2 linked regions of the Sus scrofa genome follow. The protein of the gene in region 2 interacts with the protein of the main gene of each other region in a pairwise test. Links are inferred from orthologs where the notes say so. Each region holds a gene or a part of one and is shown on either strand. Other genes may lie near its edges.

Region 1 (9,744 bases), about 39 Mb from region 2:
GCTGGAACGCGGTACCTGCCAGAAGGCACCTGCAGAGCCTGGTAGCAGAGAGCCTGAGTCCGTGGGGACCTCGTCCATCCCGCGGCTGGGTGTCCGGGGCCCCGGGGCCCAGCGCCAGGCGCGGAGCCCAGGCGGGCGGGCGGGCAGGCTGGGCAGCCCTCAGGCGCGGCCTTCCGCCCTGGCCGCGGTGCTGAGGGCCCTCTGCCTCCGATTCAGACCACGCTGTGCAACACCTCCCTGGACAACCCGACCCAGCGAGACAAGGGCCAGCTGATCCGGGCGGCACTCAAGTTCCTGGACACCGACACCGTCTGGTAAGGGGCGTGTGGGCAGCTTCCCGGGGCCCTTCACCCGGGACCTTCTCAGTGGAGGAAGAGGCAGGCCCTTCACCGCCTGGACACGGAGGAGCCCGGCAGCAGCCCCTGGCCCGGGGGCGCATGTGGCTCCTGCAGGCTTGAGGACCTGGGGGGTCCTTGCCCAGTGGGGCCTCTGACCCTGGCGGCCTCCTCGTCACTTGTCAGCCGGAGCAGGTGGGCTGAGCCGGCCTCCTCCACGTCTGCTGCTCCCCTCACGCTGTGGCCTTTAGCCAGCTGGTCAGTGGTGTTGACAGCGAGCGGAGGACTTAGCCGAGCAGCTCCGGGTGCCACCTGAACGCCTGGGGGTCCCGAATTACCTCCCAGGTGGCTCCTGAAAGCCACACTGGGCAGGGCAGAGGTCCTCCTGGAGAGGCTGCCGGCCCTCAGTGACTTGGGAAAGCTGGCTCCATTTGTGCTGGGGACCTTTTTTTTTTTTTTTTAAGGGCCACACCCTCGGCATACGGAAGTTTCCAGGCTAGGGGTTCAATCAGAGCTGTAGCTGCCGGCCTATGCCACAGCCTTAGCCATGCTAGATCCAAGCCTTGTCTGCGACCCACACCACAGCTCATGGCAGTGCTGGATCCTTAACCCATTGAGCGAGGCCAGGGATCGAACCCGCAACCTCATGGTTCCTAGTTGGATTTGTTTCCGCTGTGCCACGACGGGAACTCTGTGTACTAGGGACCTTTTGATTACAGGGAACGGAACCCTCCCAGCCTCACTCAGGAAAGCACTTTTCTGGGGAACGGTCCCGGCGCCCTGCTGGCACTGGAGGGTGGGAGTGCCTCCCTCTGCCCTGGAGGCCACCTCTCTGCCCCCTTCTACTCACGCCAGCCTGGCCTCCCCTGCACCCATGCAGGTTCCTATCCCGGGAGGCCTTGCCCGCGGCTCCCTCGGCTCACCCTGCCTCCCGTGGTGCAGCCTGGCATCAGGTGGCATCTGTAGCTGGGAGGCGGGTGGGCTCGTGAGGGGCGGGCAGCGCAGTCTGGCCAGGGCACTGCCTCTCAGAAGGGGAGGGTCAGCAGGGACGTGGGGTCGGAGCTCGGGGACCAGGGGCAGTGCCGCAGGCCTTGACCTGCAGGGAACTAGTGACATTCGGGGCAGCTTACGGCAGAAGCCCCAAGGGCTTGTGCACATGTGGCGCTGCTCTCCACACCTGTGCATCTCCAGTGAGGTCCCCGGTGAGCCCAGGCTACACCTGCAGAACCACTGCCCTGGGGGCAGACCTGGGGGCGGGGGCGGGGGCAGGTTTATGCTGCCACTGGATGAAGGTCATGCTTTTTTATGAACGGGGTACCCTTTGCACTGAATTAGCTACAGGGTGGAAGAGCCGGAGACGCTGGTGGAGCTGCAGAGGAACGAGTGGGACCCGGTGATCGCCTGGGCCGAGAGGAGGTGAGCCACTTGGCAGGCCCAGGGGACTTGGGGACAGGGCTGCGCCACCTTGGGGACAGGGCTGCGCCGTGCTTCTGCCGCTGTTGGCTGTGTGACCTTGGGCTGGTGACTGGATCTCTCTGAGCTTCCTTGTCGATGCGGGGGGCTCACAGCCCCTGCCTCCCAGGGTGTTGTCAGGAGTAACCACAGCACGCCTCCTTCCAGCACGTGGCGAACGCCCCACCGCCAGCTGCCGTCCTGATCCTTGTCACAGCTGCTGCGCGCCTGAGTCACGGAGCAGCGTGTGTGACGTAGACACACAGAGAGGAGCCTGGCGGCGCGACCGACTGTGTAGGGCCTGGGGCTCATGCTGCCCCGGCTTTTTCCTCAGCAGGAGACGCTTTTTTTTTGGCTTTTTAAGGCTGCGGGTTTCCCCGACCAGGGGTCGAATCGGAGCTGTAACTGCCAGCCTACACCACAGCCACAGCAAGTCGGGATCCAAGCGGCAGCTGCAACCTACACCACAGCTCATAACAGCACCAGATCCTCAACCCACTGGGCAAGGCCAGGAATGGAACCTGCAGCCTCCCGGATGCGAGTCAGTTAACCCATGAGCCGTGATGGGAACTCCCCAGCAGGAGACTCTTGTGCCAGGCGGAAGAGCTTGTTGGTGTGGTGGCAAAGTTAACTCAGTTTCGCTTTGTTCCAGGGGTGGGGACAGGCCCCACCCTGTCTCTCTGCCACGGGGAGTGGTTCGCGGAGTGTTTCTGATCTGTACACACTTCCCGAGTGCCCACGACGTGTCAGTGCCCTTGGCTTTGTGGCAAGAGGTGGAGCCAGTGCGGCCAAGGATCAGAGAAAACCTGGCGCCAGACCCCTCGCCAGACCGTGAGGGCCTGACAGCAGCCACGAGCCTTTGCTGCGCTCTCAGCAGAGGGCTTTTTCTGGCACTTGAGATTTCTTATCCTTAGCAAGGAAAACATGGCCACTTCCTGTGTTCCTTTTGTGCTGTTAGAAATTTCAGGAAGAATGTTTCTGAACCAATGGAAAAAATCTATGATGTATGTAGAAAAATTATAAAAGTTGCTTTTATTCTGTTACATTTTTCTTGTTTTATAAAAGCGTGTTAGAGCATTCCTGAAACCAGTTCACATCCCAGACCAAAAGCCATGCCATGCATGTAGCAGAGGCCGAATAAATACATGAAAAAGTGATTGGCAGAGAACAGGTACACATACTTTTGTAAGGAAAATAATATTTAAAAGAAGTCATGGAGTTCCCATCATGGCTTAGCAGTTAAAAACCCAAGACTCGGATCCATGAGGACACGGGTTCGATCCCTGGCCTCACTCAGTGGGTTAAGGATCTGGCGTTGCTGTGAGCTGTGGTGTAGGTCGCAGACGCAACTGGGATCCAGCATTGCTGTGGCTGTGGATTGTGCCGGCAGCTACAGCTCTGATTGGACCCCTAGCCTGGGAACGTTTATATGCCGTGGGTGAGGCCCTCAAAAGACCAAAAAAAAAGTTGTTTATGGTGCGTCTGCTATTGAGCACGAGTGCTGGGACCCAGGTTCCATCCCCAGCCGGGCACAGTGGGTAAGGATCCGGCATAGCCACAGCCGCAGCTTGGGTCCTGACTGTGGCTCAGATCTGATCCCTGGCCCAGCAACTCCATGTGCTTCAGCCTGGCCAAAAACGGAAAACAAAGTCCTTTATAGCTCCAAGGTGAAAAACTTTCTTAAAAGGTTAGGAAGCGGGTAGGCCAGGGTTCTGATGGGCGTTCGGGCAAAGGAGTGAGGTCCTTGGGCGGCTCGGCGTGAGCCCTGCTCCCTTGCGTGCCAGCCCTGTATCTTCCAGGGCCACGTCTCCTCCTCTGGCTTTGTTCTTGGGAGACAGGAAATTACTGGGTCAGGGGGCCACCGACTGCCAGGCCAGCTGCTCCCAGAATCCCCGACGGGGCCCTGGACCAGGTGTGCCGCAGGCCAGGACTTTGGGCCCAGGCGGGAGCCGGCCTCCCAGTGGGACAGGGACACGCGACGCCTCTTCCTTTCAGGTACGGCGTGGAGATCAGCTCCTCCACCAGCATCCTGGGGCCCAGCATCCCCGCCCGGACTCGAGAGGCACTGGTCAGCCACCTGGCGTCTTATAACATGTGGGCCCTACAAGGTACGTGGTGCTGGGGTCTTGGGGGTGGAGCAGACGCCCCTGGAGAAGTGTGGGGAAGCGTCCCACACACACCCCCCTCACTGGGGCTCAGGGACTCGCAGGGAGCGATGTGGTGACGCCCTCTGCAGGGTGAGGCGCCCCATGTCCTGACCTGGCCTGTGTCCCTGAAGGGATCGAGTTTGTGGTGACCCAGCTCAAGTCCATGGTGCTGACCTTGGGCCTGATCGACCTGTACCTGACGGTGGAGCGGGCCGTGCTGCTGTCGCGCCTGGAGGAGGAGTACCAGGTGGGTGCGAGACTTGGGTGCCCCCGTTCAGACGCACTGAAGCGCGTTGCAGTAAAGCTGCCCCACGCGCTTCCGAGCTCGCGTGGAAACCGAACTCCAGGGGCTGAGAAAGGCATTGTCCATCATGCACCATGGCAGGGAGCTCGGCCTCCCTCCTGGCCTCACCGCCTCCTCTCAGCACCTGGCCGCCTGGGGGCTCCTGTTTGCCTGCCTCACACAGGGGGAGCCGGAGGCCCCGCTCGCTCCCCATAAGTCGGTGGAGGCTGGCTTGGCGCCCCCTCTGCAATGGAGGAGGAATGTGGTCCCCTAAAATGACCAGGAGCCCCATCCGTGCTTGTGGAGGCTGAGCCTGGGTGCCGGCCGTGTGCACAGGGCCACCTGCAGGCTGGGCAGGTGGCTGCCATCGTCCCAGGTTTGGTTTTGTGGGCTCTGCTGCGCTGAGCTTGCAGTTTCTGACCCGGAATCTGGACGGCGTTGTCTGCGGTCCCCTCGTCCCCTCTCCAGCTTCCCAAGGCTAATTGCAGTTCCACATGGCCCCTAGCGGGGGGAAAACCCTTTCATGATGACAGTATTTCCCACGCTGGTCCCATCGTTTGCTCAGAGAAATGCCAGGGGAAGAAGCCGTTCCGTGTCGCGAGTGAGGCTGGGTGCTCCCCAGATGTCAGGGAGGTTGGTGGGAAGAGGGCGAGCTGGGGTCGACGACTGTGGGGCGGGGGGGGCGGTGTCGGGAACCCTGGCTCCTGTCCAGGCCCAGTTTTTGGCTGCGAGACCCAAGCCAGGCTTTCATTCTCTGAGCCTCAGGCTCCATCCCACAAAACACTTCTCTGAGAGTGTAAGGTGCTGCTCTGGGCCGCCCAGGATGCAGGCAAGGCAGATCCTGAGTTCCCTGTCCGGGCCTCTGAGTCCTAGGGAGAGTCTGCAGCCCTCAGCGTGCAGGCCCGAGGGGCCTCTGCAGGATCGGCTTCCCCAGGAGTCAGGGCCGAAGCGACGGCGTGGCCCTGGCTGGCTTATTTATCACACCCACTCGGTGGCCCGACTGGGGGAGGCAGTGCGTGAGTGAAGCAGCCCCCTGCAGGAGGGGCCGGCGTTCAGGGAGATGCACCTGCAGTGGGCGCCTGGCCCACCCAGCAGTGGGTCCCCCCGGTCCCCGCCCGCACCCGTGCCCCAGTGCAGTGCCGGCTTTGCCCACCTGCTGTGCCCGCCCAACCACCACTCCCCCGTGTCTCGTGTGTTGGGATGAGATCGGAGCCTCCACCCTCAGCCCAGCCATGAGGGAACGCAGCTCTGGCCCATCACCCAGCGGCCTGACCCGTCCTCCCCTCAGATGCAGAAGTGGGGCAGCATCGAGTGGGCCCACGACTATGAGCTGCGGGAGCTGCGGGCGCGCACGGCCGCGGGCGCCCTCTTCGTCCACCTCTGCTCCGAGAGCACGACGGTCAAGCACAAGCTCCTGCAGGGGTGAGGCTGCGAGCTCGAGAGACTCCTGTCCTTACACGTCAGTCCCCTGGAAGTGCTGGGGCCCAGAGTCCGCGCCCCTCGTCCCGCCTCCCCGCAGGGCTCACTGCGCAGCCCTCAGCCCCAAGGCTTTTCTTTTTTCTTGGTTTTTAATCAAACGATCTTTCCAACGTGAGTCCTTCTTGGTCCAACCTGCTTGTGTCCCCAGTCTTAGCAAAAATGATGAACCCTGGAAGTAGGCAGTCTTCCTTGTTTCTGGGTGAAAAGCCTAAGCGAGGCCGCCTGACCTGCACGTGTCCTGTTCAGGGAGCCCTGAGGCCCTCCCCGCACGGCCGCCTTGCAGGCCCCGAGGGCGGGCGGGAAGCAGGGTCCATCTGCAAGCTTCAGGCGCAGAGGCTCTTGGAACCGCACCCCCGCCCGTGCTCGGGGGGGGGGGACGCTGGGAGCGGCACCAGTGGTGGGGGTGGGGGGGGATGTGACAGCCTCCCCCAGGGCGGCGGCGGCAGCGGGGGCGGCGGCGGCGGCCTGGCAGTCCCCCTCAGCAGACACCCACTGCTCGACGGGGGCACGGAGGCGGGGAGAGGTGCCGCAGAGGCCTTTATTCTTCTCTCCGTCTGGAGAGGGCGCGGGGCTGCCGCCCTAGTCCAGGAGCTCGGCGCACTCCAGGGCGTCCAGCTCCCTCTGCGCGTGGTCCGCGTACTGGCTGATCTCCTTCACGCGCTTGCGGTTCCTCGCGATCTCGTCCCTGTGGATCTGCGGCGAGGCCGCGGGTCCCTGACCTCGCAGTCCCCCCCCCCGCCCGCCCGCCCCGCCCCCAGGTGCACCTCGCGGGTGGTCACTCACTTGGTCCAGCAGGTGTGTGCACCAGGCGTGGACCTTGGTCACCAGCTCGTCCTCCCGACTGTCGATCTTGAGGAGGTGGACGTCGTGCGACGCCCCGACCGCATTGACCAGCGTGTCTTTGTCGACAAAGAGCTGGGGAGGAGCGGGACAGGGCGCGAGAGTCGGTCTGGCTTCCGCTGCCCGGGTCAGAGGCCGCCAGAGCCAGAGGGAAAGGGGCCCCCACCAGGGGAAGTGGCGCCCACCCTGCGTTCCCACTTCCTCTGGCTCATTTCTGGTGCCCACGCCAGGAGAGGGCCCAGGGGGACCTCCCCGAGGTTCTCAAGCCCGACACGCCTGAGACCCGCCCACTTGGTGGGCCGCATGAGGCTGGTCGAGGGACTGAGGCTGCTCTGAGGATGGAGGGCCCCCAAACGGATGGAGTCACCCCTGTCAGACCTGGGCCCCCTTGGGCTCCTGCCTTCTTGCTCCCCCCGAGTCCTACACCGCGTGGGACACTGCGGGGAGCGACCCCCCGCCAGGCCTGGCCGGTCCAGGTGTGTTCATGTGCTGTGCACAGGCCACTTGCCCCGACAGCCCAGAGTCCAGAGCAGGGAGCGCTGCCGGAGCCTTTGCCAGCGGCCGCTTCCGCTTTGCGGGGAGGGGACAGCGAAGCACCTGCCAGCTTACACCTGCAGGAGGGCGGGGCAGAGGTGCAGGCGGGCTTGCTGGAGTGGCCACCCTAACAGTCTCCAAAATACGGGCGGTGGATCTCGAGGGTTAGTTTCTCCGCCGGCAGAGTACTCCGTGCTTGGCTGCACCTGGGCGAGCCACACCCCCCCAGGACCCTTCCGATGTGATGTTCTTGGCTCAAAGCGTTTTTCCAGAGAAGGTTCTGGGAATTCACGTGGAAAACAGGCTTTCAACCTCGTCTCACAGTTGCCCACTTTCCTGGCCACAGACTTCTTTCCAGGGGAAGGCCTGTCTGCACTGCGCTCGGAGGCCAGGCATGCTGGCCGGCACAGCCCACGGGAGGAGCAGCGGGTGACCTGGCTGCTGGCCCAGTCCCGCTCTGTCACTCGAGTGCACCCTCCTGGACCCGCAGGTCTCCTGTTGCCCGGACCCCGTGTTGCAGCTAGTGGATGTTGAGGGCACCTGGGGAGCGAGGCTGGCTGTGCGCCTTGGTCCCCCGAACCCTCCCAGGGCACCGCAGGACTCGAGAGGGCAGGAGTGCCCGGGTTTGAAGCCAGGTCCTCAAGCAGCATCGTCTCTGAGGCCCCCTCCCCAGCGTCCTGTTTGCAGACCAGAGTGTGTAACAGAGCTACCCCCCAAGGGTCCTTTGGGAGTTAACTTGTCCGCACGAGCCCCAGAGAGTGGGCTTCTGTTGCTAGCCCCAGCCAGCCAGCAGCCCGAGTGTCCCAGGGCCACACAAACAGGCATCAGGTGGCGCAGGGCAGAGCCGTCCTGGCAGGGGGAGGTGGCCCCTTTGTGTGTGACCCAGACCCGGGAGCAGAGTCCCAAAGAACTCGTGGCCCGTGGACCGTCCGTTGGGGGCTCCAGCATGGCTCTTGGGGGCTGCCCGGCATGATGACACTTGCCGGTGTCTGGCGGACACAGTGTCTGCTGGTGTTTGGGAAGGAAGGAGGTGACACGGGGGCCCCTGACCACGTGAGTCTGCCAGGAGCTCAGATACTGGGCGTGCGTGGTGGTGAGACGTGTCCTTGGCTTCCAGGGTTGCCCAGGCAAGTCACTGACAACAGCGTGGACCCGTGCCAGGGCCCTGGCAGGGATAACCGGCCTGCGATGGAGACGGTGGGCGTCTCCACGGAGCTGACAGGGAGCTGAGGTCTGAGCGAGGAGGGCCACACACAGGCGGCCTGGGGACAAGTGCGCCTGGGGGACGGCAGCTAAGAGAAAGCCCCAAGGGCGGGTTGTGCACAAGCCCACGATGGCCGGGTTTGGCCTTTCAGAGGGTCTGGGGCCGCTGCCTGGAGGGCGGGAAGGCCAGTGGTGCCGCCAGGGGCGGTGGGGCTTGACCCATTGGCCCTGGGGGTGTCAGTGGCGAAGGAAGGAAAGGGGCGCCCTTCCCAGAGCATGGCACACCTGCTGCTGGACCTCAGCGCAGGAGACCCGGGGCCTGAGCGCTCCTCCCTGGGGTGCTGGGCCAGAGACCCCAGCAGTGCTTCTGACCGCTGAGTGCCGCCGCCCCCCGCTCGCCCCCGCGCTCACCGCCCGCACGTCGTCGGGCAGGTCCTCGTCCAGCTCGCCCTTGACCGTCTTCTCCAGGGTGTTGATGGCGGCCTCCAGGAGCTTCTCGTGGTGGTGGTTCTCCAGGTCCCGGCACTGAGCCATCGTGCGGCGCGAGTTAAGCCGGGGCGGGACGAGCAGCCCCCCCACCCCCCGGGCAGGGCCCTCCCTTTGGCCCCGGGTCCCGCTCGTCCCTCGTCTCCATCCCCACCGCCTCCCTCCGCTCCAGCCCCTTCTAACGCAGCTCCAGAGCTCCCGCCGGGTCGGAACCGAGAGGCCTCTTGGAAGGCACCTGTCCTGCAGGCCTTTGCACAGGCCGCCTCCCGGGCCGGGAAGGTCCTCCCCAGCTTCCCAGCCGGCCCTGCGGCCCACCCTGAGGCCTCAGTTGGTGGAGGCTGCCTCCAGAGCTCTGCGCCCCCGCAGGACCTCGGACCCAGGAGGACAGGACGGGGTGACTTCTGGGGTGAACCTCTGAGCCCCAAATGTCCGCTCCTAACCTAACCTTTCTCCTGACCATCTCATCACGGATGAGCAGGCAGCCTCCTCGGCACCGAGGCCGCCCCGCCCCGAGGGCGTGCGCAGGGCGGGGTGTCCCGGAGTGAGGCCTCCTGGTGAGGTCAGGACCTGGGCTGTGAGCAGCAGCCTGCCAGGCAGCCCCCGATGGGGGGCCTTCCAAACTCTAACCAGGCGCCACTGTGCCGGGGGGTCAGAGAACATCCCTGGAACATTCCAGGTGGTTGCCAGGTTTCTATCCTTTGAAGGTGGGCTTTTCTCCTCAGTGGAAAAACGGGAGGTTTTACACTCTAATCTCAAAGCTGCAGATTCCCACTAAATAGGGTCCTGTTTAGTCTCATGTTGGTGGAGAAAGAGACCTTTTTGTTTTTTTGGCTTCTTAGGGCCGCCCCCTCGGCATATGGAGGTTCCCAGGCTAGGGGTCCACCACAGCCACCGCAACGCAGGATCTGAGCCGTGTCTGCGGCCTACACCACAGCTCACGGCAACGCCGGATCCTTCACCCGCTGAGCGAGGCCAGGGATTGAAC
Region 2 (10,844 bases):
TCAACCCAGAAGCTCTAGTATTCACCTGTCTCGGTACCTGCAACAAATGTGGCTCCACTTTCAATGCTGGAACAAGGATGGCACTCTCATTGACAACCTCCATAAAAAAGAAACCAAGAGATTTTCAATGGCCATGGATCAGAGATCAGTAAACTAGGGCAATTGGAATAGGTGGATGCTCATAGACTTGCCAAAGTTGCTTGATTCCTTCATGTGAAAGTGTATCTTTCTTTGGGTGCTTTGGGAATTCTGTTTCCAGTCTTGAATGGTATCTTTCTGGAAATTGAGGAACTTCTTCATGATTATCCTAATAAATTTTACATCTCTGGCATAGCACAAATGTCTATAGTTACTTCTGTTTATTTTTGTTAATTCATTGAGTGTATTTCTTGAATCCAAAGGTCTGCATTTTAAGAAATGAGAACATCTGAAAAATCGAAAAGGGTGCTTTTATTGTTCTTGTTGTTTCAAGAAACCTAAATGGCTTTGCATATAAAATGGTCCAGTATATCGGCATAGCTTCTCTGACTTTCTGCCCCAAAAATGGTTTAAGGTAAGACCAAATATGAAATAATAAATCAACTAACCCAGATGTGCCTGATCTGTTTTTGCAAAAAAATAAAATAATAATAACAATATCATCCATTCAATAAGCATACTAAAAATCTATTTTATTGTCCCTGCTAAAAATAAGCTGACTGTCTGGAGGATGAGGCAGATACATACACAATACCCTCTCATTCCCTCATACAACTGATCATTATTAATTGAATGCCAGGCATGGTATTATGATAAAAATATAAGTGCTCTACCAGTAGCATTAATAAACTTCTGTGGTACCACAAAAGTGAGAACCATTAAGAAATCAAGATAGCTGCCCCAAAGATAAAGAAGAGAAAGACATAGTCAAGGACAAATTGACTGAAGCTGGAGATCAAAAGACTATGATAAAGAAGACGCTGCCAAAGAGAGACTGGGCAGTGGTGTTAGGTCACCAACTGAGCATGGGAGCAGAGAAGCAGGAAAGAATTAAAAGGGGAATACTGAGGTTTGCTGCAGACATGGCAAGACACAAGTGGCATATCTAAATGAAGTCCAGGCAGCTGGAATTTGCACAGTAGGGTTCTAGGAGGATGAGGTATGAGGGAAGGAGCAAAGGTCTATGGAAAAGATCTGCTCAAGTACTTGCAAAAGGCTGCGTTGCGTGCACACAGGATGAAATTCCAAGATGCTAGCATAGAATGGCTGCTGGGGGATAAAGAGCTGAGTGGAAATACAAGAAGTCATTCAAGTCTAAAAGACTTTGAAGTTCCAGGCTTTCTGGAGCAGGCAAAGCTCTTTGAGTCCCTTAGACATTCAGTCGTATTCCAGAAGAGTAAGGAGCCTTATGAAAAGAGTAAGGATCACAGTCCCGAGTAAAGAACACACTAAATTACACCTGTCCCAGAAAAAGCTAAACCCACGCCTAAGGATCAAGAGAAAAATGATATCTAACCTCTGCTCAGTCAAACCTCATCTTTAAGGTCCTGAAAGTGAAAAAAAGTGTTAATCAGAATTCTAATACCTTGCAAAATAGCCTTCAAAACTTGAAAGGAAAGCAAAAATATTTTTAGATAAACAACACTGATTAAAAATGTCTGAAGATTTATACTGTGAAAAACACTAAAGAATAGTCTTTTTCTTTAAAAGAATAATTATATCAAATGAAATCTCAGACCTACAGGAAGCATAAAAGAATCCTGGAGATGGTCAATTTAGCAGAACTGCAGAGACTGTATTGCCAAGTAACATATACTTTCTCCTGGATAATCAGCCCATGAAAAATACGCTGAAGATTTGAAAAGTCACTTCACAAAAGAAGATATCCAAATGGCCAATAAATACATGAAAAGTTGCTCGACATCATTAGTCAAAAGAATGTAAATTAAACTGTAACACTTAAACGTGACCCAAAAAATCATTTTAATTATAAATGTCTGACAATACCACATGTTGGTGAAGATACGGAGGAACTAAATCTCTCAAATGTTATTGTCAAGAATGTAAAATGGTATAATTATATTGGGGGAAAATCTAGTAACATCCTTTTTGTAAAATTGTTTGGCTGTGTCCACATTATGCAGAAGTTCCTGGGCCAGGAATTGAACCCATGCCACAGTAGTGACCTGAGCCTCAGCAGTGACAATGCCAGATCCTTAACCCCTGGAACCTATGGGTGGACAATCAAGACGTGGATTATTTTTTCAAAGAAACTTTTCCTTTGACTCTAGGTCACTGTGGGATCATAACTTTCCTGTGGATATTTATAACTTTCAAGTATGTTTTTGAAACTTTGAACTCATGTCCTTTGCAGAACTGCATCTTATACCATTGGCACACTAAGAATTTTAAGCACAAGTGTTGAAATATTAAGAGAACTACTAAAATCAAACCCAACTCTGCTCAGAGTTCCCACTGTGGCTCAGTGGTAATGAACCTGACTAGTCTCTGTGAGAATTTGGGTTCCATCTCTTGCCTCACTCAATGGGTTAAGTATCTGGCATTGCTGTGAGCTATGGTGCAGGTCGCACAGTCAGCTCGGATCCCACTTTGCTATGGCCGTGGCATAGACTGGCAGCTCTAGCTCTGATTCAACCCCTAGCCTGGGAACTTCCCTATGCCATCAGTGCGGCCCTAAAAAGAAAAAACCCAACTCTGCTCAATGAATAATAAGTCATAAGAGACTATTTTAATGCATTTATTTAAGATTTCTAGGTTTGGCTTTGGTTATTTGTTTATTTTTGCTATCAGCTACCTAAGGAAGTAGTGCTCAGAATTAGAAAAAAACTGTTTATTCTAAATCAAGAAAATATTAATGTTGTCAGAATAATTGTTTTTTTCCCATAAAGATTTTAAAGATTCTGCAGACAAATTATTCTGTACATTTTTAAGGAAATAAATATCACAATTAAAGCCAAGAAAAGTGAAAAGTGAAGATAAAATTTAAGAGAGAATCCTGAAAACTTACATCTCAAATACCTATCCATTTGGTACCACAAGAGATTTCATCCAATGGAACTGCTGGAACTCATAGAATTTTATTCATAAGTTCCAGTATCTTTAATTTTCATGCTCTTGGGAGCTTCAAGATTAAATAAATTAGTAAAAAAGAGAAAAGAGGCTCCATATCCCAGAAGAAAAGCCTGTTTCTTCCTTGCCCCTACTCTGAAATGTAATTTAATTAATGAGGGTTTAGTTTCCCAAGAAACTAAAAGATTATAAGAGAGTTTGTATTTCATTTCTATTAGAGATGCAGTTTAAAAAAAAAAAAAAAAAAAACCACCGTATCCCTGATAGGAAAACGAGGCATTAGAAATGTGGAGACGGCAATTTTCAGGAAATCAAAGATGACAACTTCAGGAGTTCCTGTCGTGGCGCAGTGGAAATAATCCAACTAGGAGCCATGAGGTTTCGGGTTTGATCCCTGGCCTCAGTCAATGGGTTAAGGATCCAGTGTTGCTGTGAGCTGTGGTGCAGGTCACAGATGTGCCTTGGATCTGGCTTGTCTGAGGCTGTGGCGTAGGCCAGCAGCTACAGCTCCAACGGGACCCCTAGCCTGGGAACCTCCCCATGCCATAGGTGTGGCCCTAAAAAAGAAAAAAAAAAAATCAAATGATCACAACCCCATAACTTGATAACCAATTTATATTTTCGGACTGGAGGGCAAAAATTAAGCCCATCCATTATGTAAAGTGACTTGTCAATTTGCACCCAAGTAGGTATGGTTCACATACACACTTTAAACCCAGTACACACCTCACTCCTTTACCATGTGAGCACGGCGAGACCACAGAAAGCATTGCAAGGACTGCAAACCACACAGGACACTTTTATGGTGGTGACACAAACAAACAAGGGGCGCTTAAATGAGTGATATCACTTATAAGTGGAATCTTAAAAAAGATGCAAATGAACATATTTGCAGAACAGAAACAGACTCACAGACTTTGAAAACAAACTTGTGGGTACCAAAGGGGATAAGTGGGGGCAGGGAGGGATGGACCAGGAGGTTGGGATGGGCAGATGCACCCTGAGGTATATGGAATGACTGGCCATCGGACACCTGCCATATAGCATAGCGAACTCTACCCGGTATTCTGTAATAATCCATGCGGGGAAAGAACCTGTAAGAGAATGGATGTGGGCACGTGTATAACTGAACCGCTTTGTTGTCCAGCAGAAATTATCACAACCTTGTAAGTCAACTCTACCTCAATAAAACCTTAAAAAAATGAAAAAATGACTTGTAATATTAATTTTAAAAGAAGACATAAACCATTTTCAAGGCACAGGCTCAAAATCTGTGGGAATATTATTTTCCTTATGCCCAATCAATTGTATCTATAATTACTGATTGGCCAAATTTTCCCTTTTCTTTCCTTATTTGGTCAAAAGGAAAGTATTTCCTATGAAGATTTTCTGAAAAAAAGCATTTTTATCCTCCCGGCACATGGCAACAGTGTCCTTATTTAGCAACTTGAAGTTATGCCTGTTTTATGAGGCATAAAACTCTTCTTCAGCAAATAAACAACACTAATGAGTGTTCATATGAAAACTGGCACCGGAAAACATCCGGTGCTTTGCGTGCTTTGCGTAAATACCCATTTGGGGGCTGATATAAAAGTCTCCGGAGAGAAGGAGACTTTTGGAGGCAGGCAGCTGGAGTTTTGCAACTAGTCTCTGCCCTTCTCGTCTGATAGGATGGCTTCTGACTGTTCCCCCTCCTGCTGCTCTTCTGCGTCGAGGGCCGGGGCTTCTGATGGCGCGATTGCTTCAACCGGTCCCGTGGACGCCACGTGTCTCCCCAGCGCCTGTGCCACCTCCAGATGCCACACTCCCAGGTCCTGTGCATCAGCTGGTTGCCTCAGGCCGCGCTGCTTGGCCGGGAGCTGCCACGCTCCGTGCCTGGTGGGGAACTGTGTCTGGGGTGAGGATGGCGCGTTCAACAGCAACGAGAAGGAGACGATGCAGTTCCTGAACGACAGACTCGCCAACTATCTGGAGAAGGTGCGCGGGCTGGAGGAGCTGAATGCGGAGCTGGAATGCAGGATCCGGGAACAGTGTGAAGAGGACGCCCCGTCGGTGTGCCCTGATTATCAGAGTTACTTCGACACCATTGAAGAGCTCCAACAAAAGGTCTCGTATTTCATCGCCCTGAAGTCCCACCTTCCCAGTCTGTGACTTGCTTTATTTTTGTTCTGCTAGAGGCTGTTCTGTGGCAGGATACCAGGGAAAGGGGAGGGACTTCTCAGAGGTAATGCGATGCAGAGGAAAGTCAGGAGGCCTCAGCACCAGCCCCTAGGCTGCCGCTAATTACTAAGTGATCATGATAAAATAATTGACCTCTAAATTTACCTTTATCAGCTAGGGAAGGAGGAACAACAGTGTTATATCGAGAAGGACTTCTGTGTGACACACTGTACGTGTACACATGTACGCGTTTTTTTTTCTTTTTTGTCCCGTCCCACCCCCGCACACGGAGTTCCTGGACTGGGGATCAGATCTGAGCTGCAGTTGTGACTTAACGCTGCAGGTGCAGAAAATGTGGGATCCTTATCCCACTGTGCTGGGCCAGGATCGAACTTTCGTTCTAGCAGTCCAGAGCCTCTGCTGAGCCCACTGAGCACAGCGGGAAATCCTGTATAGTATTTTTAACGCAGATATTGAAATGTCTTTTGGAAGGGGCATATCTGCAGCATGGAGAAGTTCCCGGGCCAGGGTTTGAACCCATGCCATGACAGTGACAATGCCAGATCCTTAACTGCTAGGCCACCAGGGAACTCCCAAAATGCCATCTTTTTAATCCTATAATTTCACCTAGTAATTATTTCCCTTTATTACTGATGAATTTTTTATTATCTTGGATGGTACTATAGTCGTAAAACAAACTACTTCTGGAGAAAAACCTAAGTGCCAAGGGATACTGCAAAATGTCTTAGGTTGGAGTTCCTGTTGTGGCTCATCAGGTTCACGTGACATGGTATCCATGAGGATGCAGGTTCAATCCCTTGCCTCACTCAGTGGGTCAAGGGTCTGGCATTGTCACAGCCTGGGTCACAGACGTGGCTTGGATCTACTCTTGAGGTGGCTGTGGTATTAGCCTAAAGATGCAGCTCCAGTTCGACCCCTGGCCCTGCCTTAGGTGTGACGGTTAAAAAAAAAAGTCTTGTGTCATTAAAAAACTAAACCTTTTTATTTCTCCATTTCATTTATAACTGGTGCTCCTTTTTTTCTTCACAAAGTGACACGGTTAATAAAAGCAGCCTGAAAGCTACTTTATATTTTCTTGTAAAACTTTAAAAGATAAGTGATGCCTTAGTGGTTAAACAAGTAGATACTTGGGTTTCTTTTCACAGAACCACTTATGACATAATATCTTGCTTCCCAGATCTTGTGTACGAAGGCAGAGAACTCAAGACTTGCTGTACAGCTTGACAACTGCAAACTGGCTGCCGATGACTTTAGGTCAAAGTAAGGTTAATTTGAATTGGAAAATAATTTACGGTTGCCTCTTTCTCTCCTTCTCTCACATAGCTCCACACACACCACTGGTATTCTCTACATAATATTTTTTAAGCCAGAAGTAATTGTGAAATTTCCTTCTGTTTTCATCTCTAAGCAAACCCTATAAAATATGTGCTATGAAAATGCTTCATTCTGTGTAAAGAAAACAGAAGAAAATTCCAACCCCCCTCCCCTCCAAAAATATATATATATAAAGCGAAGAATGCTCACGCAGCTTGAATTTTCATTATTTGGGGAGTAGAAGGAGTCACGATATGTGGGTTCCTTGGGTCCACGCGTCAGTCATTGGTAGGCCCAGCGCTTTGCGCAGTGTCCAGCGGGGTAAGCACCGGCTGTGTCTCTTGCTGTGAAAGGTACGATGCTGAGCTGTCCCTCCGCCAGCTGGTGGAGATGGACATTAGCGGCCTGCGTGGGATCCTGGGGGAGCTGAGCCTGTGCCAGTCTGACCTGGAAGCTCATGTGGAGTCTCTGAAGGATGATCTCCTTTGCCTTAAGAAAAACCATGAAGAGGTGAGGAAAAGGGCAAAATCCCTGAACGGCTCTAAGAGGGGCACAGTTAAACTGACAGAACCCGTGTTGTGTATATAGATTGGACTTGAGCAGATGTTGCTTAAGGTGGAAGAAAAGGACTCGAGGCACTATTACTCCCCAGCCTGATCATTCTGGTGTGTCTCTGAATGTAACGGAATTAACCCCTGGCCAGGGCCAGCTGGAGGAACCAAACCTTTCACCTGCCACTGCTTTTGTGGCCGAGGCAAACCCACACATGGTTTTCCTGGAGGCTTTCTGCTGCTCTTAACTCTAACCCATAAGGTGTGAAAAGCAGGCTGATCATTGCAGAATATAAAGGCCATTTCAAAAAGGAAATAGGAGTTCCCATTATGGCTCAGCAGGTTAGGAACCCGACTAGTATCCAGGAGGATTCAGGTCCGATCCCTGGCCTTGCTCAGTGGGTTAAGGATCCGGCATTGCTGCAAGCTGCAGTGTAGGTTGAAGATGCAGCTTGGATCCAGCATTGTGGTGGCTGTGGTGTAGGCCGACAGCTGCAGCTCCAATTGGATCCCTAGCCTGGGAACTTCCACACTGCAGGTGCATCCCTGAAAAAGAAAAAAAAAAGGCAATATAGACTCATGCAGTATTTGGACAAATACTTTTAAATATGCTGCATTTATAAACTTTTAAAAATCACTAAATGTGGAGTTTCCTGGTGGCCTGGCAATTAAATATGTAGCATTGTCACTGCTGTGGCTCTGGTCACTGCTATGGCACAGTTCAACCCCTGGCCCAGGAACTTCTGCATGCATTGGGCATGGCCAAAAAAAAAATCATTAAATGTGAAGTGTATACTTATCTCTTTTTTTTTTTTTTGTCTTTTGTCTTTTTTAGGGCCTCACCCTTGGCATATGGAGGTTCCCAGGTTAGGGGTCAAATCTGAGCTGTAGCTGCCAGCCTACACCACAGCCACAGCAATGCAGGATATGAGCTGCGTCTGTGACCTACACCACAGCTCATGACAACACTGGATCCTTAACCCACTGATCAAGGCCAGGGATTGAACCCTCATCCTCATGGATACTAATCAGGTTCATTAACCACTGAGCCACAGAGGAACTCCTACTTATCCCTTATTGATGATGCTAAAAAAAATGAAGAGCTGGATGACATAACAAAGTCTAACTTCCCCTTGAACATTTGTTGACGATAATAACAGCCGACACTGAGAACTTACTGGGCACCAATAAGTGTTGATAAGTGTTTTCTATGTCTCTTAACTCGTGTATCTCGCAATAACTCTCTGGTAAAGGTAAAAATCATACCCATTCCACAGGTGGAGAAACTGAGTGATGAAACCAGACTCAGGTTAGGCAGTCTGAATCTGATCCCCCACTTTTACCCACTACTCCCCAAACCAGAAATGGGATGCCTTTGGGGTGTCAAGTTGAATTTTTTTTCCCACCACTCTGATATTATTTACTCCATAATATCCACCCACAGGAGGTCAACGTGCTTCGTGAACAGCTGGGGGACCGACTCAGTGTGGAGCTAAACACTGCCCCCACCGTGGACCTCAACAAGGTCCTGGATGAGATGCGTGGTCAGTATGAAACCGTGCTCGCCAACAACCACAGAGACATGGAAGAATGGTTCGCCGTTCAGGTGAGCATCTGGAGCAGCAAAATGCCAGGCATCCCGATTGTGCCCTATTTGCCTTCTCTTAATCAGGCCTGTGTTACAGACGGAGGAGCTGAACCAGCAGCAGCTGTCCAGTGCAGAGCAGCTGCAGGGCTGCCAGACGGAGATGCTGGAACTGAAACGCACAGCCACTGCTCTGGAGATTGAACTTCAAGCACAGCAAAGCCTGGTGTGTAAGGGAAAGATAACTGTTTTGTCACTGAAGAGTCAGGCCTCGAGATAGTGTCCCCATAACCCAAAGGAGAGACCCACAGTTCATGGAGCAGAAGGTCTGAATTTCCAATGTGCAAGGATTGCATTTCCTTGCCTTTTTTTTCTTTTTTAAATAAATTTTGTTGGAATATAGTTGACTTACTATATTAGTGTGTTAGTTTCAGGTACACAGCAAAAGTGAAATATATATGGATATCTCCATAAGTGGAGATATATATATATATATATATATATATCCATTCTTTTTCAGATTCTTTCCCCACGTAGGCTATCAAAGAGTCCTGAATAGCCAGCGTTCCCTGTGCTATACAGTAGGTGCTTGTTACTTACTGATCTTGTGTATCGTAGTGTGTATATGCCAATCTCCCAGTTTATTCCCCCCGCGTTTTCCCTTTCACAACCCTAAGTTTGGCTTCAAAACCTTTGACTCCATTTCTATTTTGTGAATAAGTTCTCTTGTATCATTTTTAATGTGATTCACATATTAGTAATCTCTACCCTTGCCTGTTTCAAGTATGCTGTTTATGCAGCTAGAAGCAGAAGGGATAGGTCAGCAGCTTGCACTGCCCCACTAGGATGCCCTGACCTTCCCCCCCGGGGCTCAGGCATGATCCTGCGGCACCGTCCAGAGACAAGGAGGGAGAGGGAATGGGCAGGAGCAGAAAGAGGGGAACTTCTGAGTCAAAGGCACTCAAGAATTCCAATGGATTCCATCTCTCTTTTGATTCGGGCCAGTTTTCCAAGCCCCCCATCCCATCTGAAACACAGAGGTCCAGACTTGGCATTCTACAACTATTCTAAACTTTCCCAGGATCCACACCTCACCTGGACCCCTCCCTGCCTCCCACTCCACGCAAGCAAAAAGACTACCACGCATTCGAGATTACATTAAGCCGTTCCTCTGTGGGTGCCACCCTAGGTCCTCCAGAGAACATTTAGGTGAATAATAGCTGAGCATTCACTGTGTGAAAGGCAGAGGCACAAAGCTAATTAAGCATCAACATAACCTCATGGGGCAAAGCCCTTGTACTGACCCTGTGAGACAGATGAGGAGAACCGAGACTGGGATTAAGTAACAGAGGGTCCTGCTTTTTTTTTTTTTTTTTTTGCTATTTCTTGGGCCGCTCCCGCAGCATATGGAGGTTCCCAGGCTAGGGGTCGAATTGGAGCTGTAGCCACCGGCCTACGCCAGAGCCACAGCAACGCGGGATCGAGCCGTGTCTGCAATCTACACCACAGCTCACGGCAACGCTGGATCCTTAACCCACTGAGCAAGGGGAGGGACCGAACCCGAAACCTCATGGTTCCTAGTCGGATTCGTTAACCACTGCGCCACGACGGGAACTCCGGGTCCTGCAATTTTTAAGAGGCAGAAATGGAAACTGAATCCAAGTGGTTCAATCTCAGAGTCTCTTCTGAGGAGCCAGGAGACCACATACAACGTTGCCTCTGAAATGCTTTTGATCCTCTTTAGGCTACAGATGTATGTGGCAGGTTGGGTGGTTGTAGTGATGATGAAAATCAATGCTTACCCACCCTTAAAGTTTTTCCAGGCACCGTTTTACATACTTTATATATATTTATTCGCCTAACCCTCGCAACCATCCTGTGAAATAAGGTGCTTTGCATTCCTCGTTTTTTATAGAATAAAACTGAAGCTCAGAGAAGTTAAGTAATCTTCCCAAAGTCACAGAGCTGGGGGTGGGTGGGGAAGAAAAGCTAAGACAAGGGTGGAAAACAGGTGATCTGGCCCTGGCGACTGAGTAAAAACAGCTCTTGTACTCTTTTCCTTCTGCAGACGGAATCTCTAGAATGCACGGTGGCAGAAACCGAGGCCCAGTATAGCTCGCAGCTGGCCCAGATGCAGCACCTCA

The links.
Region 1: the proteins of KRT40 (region 2) and ATPAF2 interact in binary tests that used the Homo sapiens proteins (3 or more experiments, as listed by UniProt). The two-hybrid records come from large-scale screens. The link is inferred for Sus scrofa from reciprocal best matches to the Homo sapiens genes KRT40 and ATPAF2.

The regions. Positions count from the first base shown.
Region 1 is NC_010454.4:60,627,400-60,637,143, forward strand, and holds the end of ATPAF2 (ATP synthase mitochondrial F1 complex assembly factor 2), read left to right. Parts: intron 1-216; coding exon 217-314; intron 315-1,670; coding exon 1,671-1,751; intron 1,752-3,782; coding exon 3,783-3,895; intron 3,896-4,065; coding exon 4,066-4,181; intron 4,182-5,505; coding exon 5,506-5,643; 3' UTR 5,644-5,811; downstream 5,812-9,744. Other genes in the region: DRC3 (dynein regulatory complex subunit 3), read right to left, coding at 6,276-6,410, 6,480-6,611, 8,685-8,808. UniProt on the Homo sapiens protein: Plays a role in the assembly of the F1 component of the mitochondrial ATP synthase (ATPase).
Region 2 is NC_010454.4:21,477,158-21,488,001, forward strand, and holds the start of KRT40 (keratin, type I cytoskeletal 40), read left to right. Parts: upstream 1-3,567; 5' UTR 3,568-4,740; coding exon 4,741-5,175; intron 5,176-6,427; coding exon 6,428-6,510; intron 6,511-6,917; coding exon 6,918-7,074; intron 7,075-8,559; coding exon 8,560-8,721; intron 8,722-8,800; coding exon 8,801-8,926; intron 8,927-10,768; coding exon 10,769-10,844. UniProt on the Homo sapiens protein: May play a role in late hair differentiation.